Macaca fascicularis: one gene and its partner. The protein of the gene in region 1 interacts with the protein of each later gene in a pairwise test. Links are inferred from orthologs where the notes say so. Each region holds a gene or a part of one and is shown in the gene's direction. Other genes may lie near its edges.

Region 1 (4,421 bases):
AATTTACTTAATCTAAGTGGAGTCCAGGTGCTGGGGTGATTACCCTTATCTTGTCTCCTGCTAAATCATGGAGGTTTGGGGGAGTTCCTTCAAACCCCAGTAAACTTGTTTGTGGAGCCCTGAGGAGCTTCTTCAGACCTCCAATAAAGTTTGTTTAATCCTAAAAGCGTCCTGCTAAGAATTCCTTCGTTATCTTGTCATGCTCCAAGGCCCAGGAAAAGCCTAGGCACAATTCTGGGTGGGCTTTTGTTACATCCCAGCCTTTGTACAAGGGCACTGGCTCTCTCGTCTTTTAATGTTTAACTTAACCCTTGTAATCCCAGCACTTTGGGAGGCCGAGGTGGGTGGATCACCTGAGGTCAGGAGTTTGAGACCAGCCTGGCCAACATAGTGAAACCCCGTCTCTACTAAAAAGACAAAAATTAGCCGGGCGTGGTGGCATGTGCCTATAATCACAACCACTTGGGAGGCTGAGAGGCAGGAGAATTGCTTGAACCCGCGAGGCAGAGGTTGCAGTGAGCCGAGATCGTGCCACTGCACTCCAGCCTGAGTGACAGAGTGAGACTCCATCTCAAAAAAAAAAAAAAAAAAAAGCAAAAAGCCTCTCTTGGCTGCTTGCTCTGTGCCTTGTGCAAGAATCCTTCCAGCCCAGGATCACTTAGTAGTCCTCAAACATTCTAGTTTGCTTTTCTAGAGGTTCGGTCACATTTCTATCCTAAGCAAAGACTATATAATTACCGAGTTGCAAAAATCATCTCTCCAAACGCCAAAACGGAGATAGGAGGGAAAATAAAAGATGTGAGAGGCAGGCATCCTGGGTAAACCACTCTGATATTGCAGGGTTGGGATCCCCAGGGTACTGTGATGGCTAACTGGAACAGAATGCAGGTATTTCTCCAAAGCCCAAGATTTCATAAAAGCAAATTAGATATGATTCAATGGATTAATCAAGGGCCACCAGTTGCATTACCGACTACTAACTTTGCAGAAATGAAACACGGTATGCTGGGTCAAGGTTCAGTGAGACTGGTTTTCTTAACATTCCAGGCAATAAACAGGCATGCTCATTCACTGATAAAAGTTGACAATGACAGGTGGTGACTGTTGATAAGGTCTGATTGCCATTCAGAAAGTTTGACCTCTTTCCAAGTAACCACGGCCTTACCTCTCCCTTTTGAGCTTATCACAATTGGTGACTGTACACTTGTTTCATAGACTTCCCCACTAGACTGTGAGCTCCATAGGGCTGGGTCCCAGGTCGGTTTCACCACCAGGCTCTCTCGCCTAACTCGGCCGACGGGAGGCGGTTTTCAGCTGCTCTGGCTCCATAGCTCAGCCTGGCAGCGGCCAGTGGGTGCCCTGATTTGGTCGGCCCCGCCTCCCAGGGCCTTACTTCCGGGAGGCTTCAGGCGGGAGCAAGAAACATGGTCACATACAACGTAATGCGCCTGCGCAGAGTCCGTCCTGCGCCTGCGCATTCCTGGCAGCTCCTCCCGGACCGGACATAACGGTCCCCGCGCGGCTCCCCGAACCGGAAGTGGAGGTGAGCTGTCGCGGGCGGCGCCCGGCCTTGCTCAACGCCTGGCAGTCCCCACCGTCGCTGCCGCTGCCGAGGCCTCCTGCAGCCACCATGTCCGCTAGCGCCGTCTACGTGCTGGACCTGAAGGGCAAGGTAATGAAGGCTCCCCACCCTCCCTGTTGCCAGGCAACCGGCGGGGGCCTCCGCCCGCGGGGACCCACCCTGTTGCTAGGTAACCGGCTTATGAGCCCCACCCTGGTGTGAGGCAAAGAGGCCGGTAGACCTCACCTGAGAGCCCCACCCTATTTCTGGGTAACCGGGCGGGGGTCGTAAGTGGGTAATCCACGCCCTGTTGCTAGGTAACGCGGTGGGCTGCAGCCACCGCGTTGCCAGGTAACCGACTGCACCGCCCTCTGCTCCCAGGCACCCGGGCCAGAGGCTCTGGGCTCGGTGGAGGACCCAGAAGCGGGGCCGCAGCCGGCCTTGGAGCCAGGCAGGGTGTCCAGGGGCTGCGCGACCCTTGGCCGGGGGTGGCGAGGCGTGGCGGGGACTGGGTGCTCTCCAGCCAGTCCCGCCCTCTCAGGGCGTTGCAGCTTCTGTTTATCGTGCACTTTCTCTCAGGAGGAATTTCTCCACGTTCATTGCGATAGTGAGTTACAAGGGTTAGGTGAGTGGATGGTGATCACGAGTACCGTTTTATAGAGGGAGAAACTGAGGCACGGAGAGGTGAAGTAACCTGACCAAGGTCACAATGGTCACAGAGAAGTAGGAAGTCTAGGAGTCCGATCCAGAAGCATTTGTTTATTTAGCTGATATCTGGGGAGCACCTACTAATGCCAGGCAGGATAGTAAGCCTGGGGTCGATTTGTGTTTAGCAAAAAACAATCCTGCTTTTTTTTTTTTCTTTTTGAGATAGTGTCATGCTCAGTCGTCCAGTCTGGAGTGCAGTGGTGCGATCTCCACTCACTGCAACCTCTGCCTCCTGGGTTCAAGCAATTCTCCTGCCTCAGCCTCCCAAGTAGCTGGCATTACAGGCACCTGCCACCACGCCCAGCTAAATTTTGTATTTTTAGTAGAGACAGGGTTTCACCATGTTGACCAGGCTGGTCTCGAACTCTTGACCTCAAGTGATCCAGCTGTCTCAGCCTCCCAAAGTGCTAGGATTACAGGCGTGAGTCACTGTGCCAGGGCTCAACAATCTGTGTTCTTATGACGTTCACAGGCTGATTGGGGAGATGGATACCGATCTCCAAAAACACAAATAAATGTCAGTTGCAGTGGGGGGGTGGGGCGGATGTGTTATACAGACGGTCAGCCTCAGCCAGAGGATGAGAGAGGGTTTTCCTAAGGAGGGGTGACAAATGGACCTGAGATACCAGGGAGCTGGACATAGACTAGAACCCGGGCATCTTCCCCAGAGGATCTGAGAAAACTGAAAGAAGGGATTGTCCCCGCCTTTTAGAAATGGTCCTCTGCCTTCTCCCAAGTCCATCCCAGGTACAAGGCAAGTGGCTGCCTGGCCTGTTGCATGTGGAAGCAACAAGCACCGGTCCAACAATGTTAAACCCAACATTGGTCAGTGAGAGAAACAAACGTGGGTGTCAGGTCCTAGGTGAGGCGGGCAGGGGTGAGCCCTAAAGCAGCTGAGAGTGAAGAGGTGAAGTGGCTGCCCCTTCCTGTCCCACCCCACCCCCACACTTTCCTGAAGTCCCTTGAGTGGGTGCCTGCCCTGGAAGCCAACCAAAGCCAATAACTGGTGAGATCCAGTGCTGGGTTTCCTTCCCCCGCCTTCTTGGAAGCAGGGAAGACACCCGTCTTAGATCACGCCAGGGGCTGGGTGTGTGCAGTGTACCCTGAGTCCTGGTGACATGAGTCTTGCTTCCGCACTGGCCACTGCCTCCCCAGAGGTGCCAGCGGGCTGCCTGTCTTGGCTGGCTTATTCCTTCAGCAAACATTTCATGAGCACCTAGGATGCACCCTGTCCTGTGCCAGGCATAGGGTGTCCATTGGCACCGTGGCTGTGGTGTTAGGGCTGAGCTCAAAACCCATCTCTGCTGCTCAGCTGTGTGACCTGGGACAGGCACCTTCTCTCTGAGCCTCGCTTTCCTCACTGGTCAAAAGAGGCTTTCATGGAGTTATTGTGCAGATTTGCCGAGCAGATGTGTGAGACAGGCTCAGCACCACCCATGGTCCATGTTAGCTTTCCCAGGCCTCTCGGTCTAGCAGGGGAGTCCTCTAGAAGCAGAGACATTACCACACAGTTGGATCCAGGCAGCCACAGGGGCAGGAACAAGGTCCCAAGTCCTGCAGTTGCTCAACCTCGTCTTTAGCCAGTGGAAGGTGGAGGTGGTTATGAAAGGCTCCCTGGAAGAGGGCAACGCCGGAAGTGGGTTTGGAAGGTGATCAGGCACGATCTGGTGGAAAAGAGGTATTGCAAGGGGCAGCCTGCTGGGGCCGCTGAGCCAGAAGTCCTGGCTAATGCTGAGATGGGAGAGAGGGACCAAGGGGACCACTTCATTTCCAACAAGGAGCCACCGTGAGGAGACCATAGCCCAGAGAGGCATGATCAGACCTGCCTTTCAGAAAGCTCCCCAAGGCAGCCATGGGCTTCCCTCCCTCCCTCTGCAACCATGATGCCCTTTCTTATTCCACAATCCACGGACCTCCTGTTTCCAAAGTCGGCCTCGTGAGCCGACTGCATTTCATCAAAAATAAAGCACACTGAGAAATTCGTGGCCACGTGTCTGGTCACCGAGGACACTGGCGTGGCCACACTGGGCTGGAAGGAAGCTCTCCTAGTAGGAAGCTTCTCCGCTTTATCTAGCTGGCTTCTTACACCACTAACCACCACTAACCACCTCCTCTTCAGCGCTCCCTTCCGCTTCCGGGAGGCTGCGCTCGG
Region 2 (3,642 bases), on another chromosome or scaffold:
GGGAGACTGAAGCAGGAGAATTGCTTGAATCCGGGAGCCGGAGGTTGCATTGAGCTGAGATCATGCCACTGCACTTCAGCCTGCCAATAGAGCGAGACTCCGCTCAAAAAAAAAAAAAAACAAAAAACACAGCACTGAAGAAAATACCACACAGCAAAGGAAAACTTATTTTCTGCAAGGTGTCTTTTCAAAGATAGAATGTTTGAAGCATGTTTCCTGGAGATTGTGTGGATGAGGGTGAGCTGGCTGAAGCGTCGTTCAAGCTGGGGGGTGTAAGAAGCACGTGCAGCCACAAGAGGCACCTCCTATAGTCAGCTAAGGGCTTCCCTTTCTGCACCCAGCTTTTGGGTGAAGGGTGATTTCTGTTAGACAAATCTGTGCTTCAGTCATAGATGTTAATAGAGGAAGCAATTTTCCTGCTGCAGATCCCTGAAGAGAGTTGCTGAAACAGTCTAGTTCCAGACTCAGGGGAGGTCGAAGGCCAGTCTGTAGAAAGGCTGAGGCAACGGGGAAAGACTTGACAGCTAGTTACATATGCTCTGACATGGTACCCCCATGATGGCTTCCAGTGACACATGTGCTGATAGAATTCTAAACCTCTGGAATTTCCCTGCTGGTTAATTCTGTGGCCCTTGACTGTACAGGGTGACCTGATGCCAGATGCTGTGGGCGTGATGAGAACTAGAGAACTTGCAGTGTGGAGGAAGCTGTGTGAGGCACCAGACCCTGTGCTTCTGCAGGCCATTTCCTGAAAACCCCTGTTAGAAAGGTTGGGTTTAGTGTGACTTGCTTGAGCAAGAGTCCTTGGGAGAGATTTTGAGGTTTAATTTAACAGTATCTCCAGAGCTAACAGTGACTCCATTCAGCTAGTTCCGCAAGTCAGATGTAAACTTAGAGTCTCCTTTGTGAAGGGTTTGGGTCTGAGCTGTATAGTACGTCAGTGGGTAAGCCCAGCCCTTCATCCTCTGATAGATACCCCTTTAATTCACCAGACTTCATGTTCGATACATTATTAATAGTTGAAATTGTTTCTCTTCTTTTGTATTTTCCCAGTTAATAGATGGCTACTGTTTCCACAATGTTTTATATTTTCAGCTTTTTGTAACTTAATTACTTAATTTTATTTTTTTAAAGCTTGTTGCGGTCTAATGAGAAGTATTTTTCAGTGCATAATGTTTTTCCGAGCTTCTGTTAATGCCATCCCAATGTAGTTTTGTTGAACAGAAACCAAAATAAATTTCAGAATGTTAAAGCAATGGATTTAATACATTATTTTATTTTATTTTATTTTAATTTTATTTTATTTTTTTTGAGATAGAGTCTTGCTCTGTCACCAGCCTGGAGTGCAGTGGTGCGATCTTGGCTCACTGCAACCTCCACCTCCCAGGTTCAAGCGATTCTCCTAACTCAGCCTCCTGAGTAGCTGGGACTACAGGTGTGCACCACCACGCCCAGGTAATTTTTGTATTTTTAGTGAAGACGCAGTTTCACCATGTTGGCCAGGATTGGTCTCAATCTCTTCCTCGTGATCCGCCCACCTCGGCCTCCCAAAGTGCTGGGATTACAGGCATGAGCCACGGCACCCGGTCAATAAATTTATGAATATTACATTAAGATGAACTACAATAAGACCTTTGGCATGTCAGTTTAACATAAGTGAAAGGTCCTTTTTATGCCTTTTGAGCCTTCCTTCACCTTCCATCCAACACACACGGTACCAGTAAATTACAGATGCCATTTCTGAGCTTTGCACACTTTCTCTGGCTTTCCATGTTCTGCTCCTGACCAACTCTCCTACCACCTGACTCCTCCCAGCCTGGCTGCCTCTGTTGCTTTCAGTAGCTGGGCCATTGCTGGGAACACTCTGTTGCCTCCCTGTGCTGTCCCCTGCTGTGCCGTTGTCTGGAATGCCTTGCAGCCTGCCTCAACACAATAAGGTAATCTTCTAACCAGTCCATGACCTGACTCCTGATGTCACCCTTCCCTGCGTCACCCTTCCCCACATATTTGGAGGATGAGGCTTGATTGAGGCTCAGGTACTGAGCTCCCTGAAGGTGCCTTGATGCTGGCACATCGAGAACCAGATGCCACCCCGATCATAAGGAAGGCAGACCCAGGACTTCCATATGAACTGGATATGATCATCTGACGTGCCCCCTAATAACTGATGGATCCCGCTGTTACTCCAAAGCTCCAGACCACACCGGCCCAGACACAGGCATTTCCCGTGCCCTGAAGAGCCACTGAACCCAGAACAAAAGAGATCTAGAGCTCTCCAAACCTATGGAATGGCAACCAAAACAATGCCCAGGTTTTGAGTTAAGCCTCATTGGTCTCCCTTCTCCCTCAACAGTGTAGAACTGTGCAGCACAGCACTAAGTGAATGAGAGCAGAAGCCTCAGGACAGAACTGAACCCACCAGCTTGAGCTGACAACACTGCCAGGCATTCTATCCACCGATGGAATTTTCTCTGATCACTGAGTGAGGAGGTATGGGTGAGCGATGCAGAGCGCTGCCTGTCATGAGACATCAAGCTATCCAAGTCAATATCCTGTTAGTAGGGACGGGATGTTATAAAAGGCATAATGATCTCACCTGCCGCAGCTGGAAGCAATGATTCCATTGCCCCAGATTCGGAATTGTGATTTAAACTAGGCCTCTCTTCAGGAATCAGAACCAAATTAGAGTGCCTTATATGTGCAAGGAACTAATGCAGAAAGACATGGGTTAAGTCAAGGGAGATGCCCCAGCCATTGGGCAGATTCCTCTGACTCCTCCCTGATGGAACTAATTCTTCTTCTTCTGTGCCTGGATCCTAGAGCCAAGATCCTTAAGGTCTGAGTACAAGTTCCGCTTCAGGATGGCACTGCTGCACAGCAGGGCACCTTGCAGGGCCCCGACCAGCCCACAGGTGAAGATATCCTGGCCTAGGAGGCAAGAGCAGAGGCCCCTGAGCGTGACCCAGGCAGGCCCAGGGGAGGGTGGGGCCCTGGTGCTCTTCCCTCCACATGAGGGCCACCCAGAGCTGGCTCCAATCAGGACCAGGGCCACAGCCTGCCCAGGCAGCCCTGCTCAGGGGATGAGAAGCTGCAGGGGACAGCAGGGCCTGAGGACAGGAAGAGAGGACATTGGGCGACAGGGGCCCAGGGTCTCAGGTCCTGACAACATGGGGCAGTGAGTATACCTGTCAGGTAGAGGTTGGGGATGGGGCTCTGGGCCCTCAAGGAGGCCATCACACGGGGGTGCAGGCGGCCCAGGTCATGGTCAGCCCCGTAGCAGGCACCTCGGGGAGCAGCCAGATAGAACTGGTTGGTGAGTGGGGATCCTGCAGTCACACTCTCCACCTGAGGGCACAAAGGGTGGGGCGGGCACGTGAGATCCTGGCTCCCCTCCCTCTTCCACTGTCTCCCATTTGCTGACTGTGGGTATGGGTGCCCTGTCCTTCCCTGGGGCTCATGTCGTGGGGCCCAATTCCCCTGTCTTTGCAAGGAAAGGGCAGAAATGGCACCATGAGGTCTGTCACCACCCCAAATATTTTACCCCCTACCTTCCCTTCCAGCTGTGGGAACAGTTTCATGACCACTGACATAGAGGCTTCCACAAAGGAGTTTTTGAAGGTCTCATAGTCACTGCCCCACTTT

What was found.
Region 2: the proteins of AP1M1 (region 1) and TGOLN2 interact in a two-hybrid assay, tested with the Homo sapiens proteins (2 studies listed by BioGRID). The link is inferred for Macaca fascicularis from reciprocal best matches to the Homo sapiens genes AP1M1 and TGOLN2.

What each region holds. Positions count from the first base shown.
Region 1 is NC_088393.1:16,518,857-16,523,277, forward strand, and holds the start of AP1M1 (AP-1 complex subunit mu-1), read left to right. Parts: upstream 1-1,533; 5' UTR 1,534-1,630; coding exon 1,631-1,672; intron 1,673-4,421. UniProt on the Homo sapiens protein: Subunit of clathrin-associated adaptor protein complex 1 that plays a role in protein sorting in the trans-Golgi network (TGN) and endosomes.
Region 2 is NC_088387.1:36,275,367-36,279,008, forward strand, and holds part of TGOLN2 (trans-Golgi network integral membrane protein 2), read left to right. Parts: exon of another isoform or gene 1-1,256; intron 1,257-1,318; coding exon 1,319-1,423; 3' UTR 1,424-1,455; exon of another isoform or gene 1,456-1,611; intron 1,612-2,555; exon of another isoform or gene 2,556-2,788; coding exon of another isoform or gene 2,789-2,928; intron 2,929-3,185; coding exon of another isoform or gene 3,186-3,345; intron 3,346-3,548; coding exon of another isoform or gene 3,549-3,642. Other genes in the region: all-trans-retinol 13,14-reductase-like, read right to left, coding at 2,789-2,928, 3,186-3,345, 3,549-3,642. UniProt on the Homo sapiens protein: May be involved in regulating membrane traffic to and from trans-Golgi network.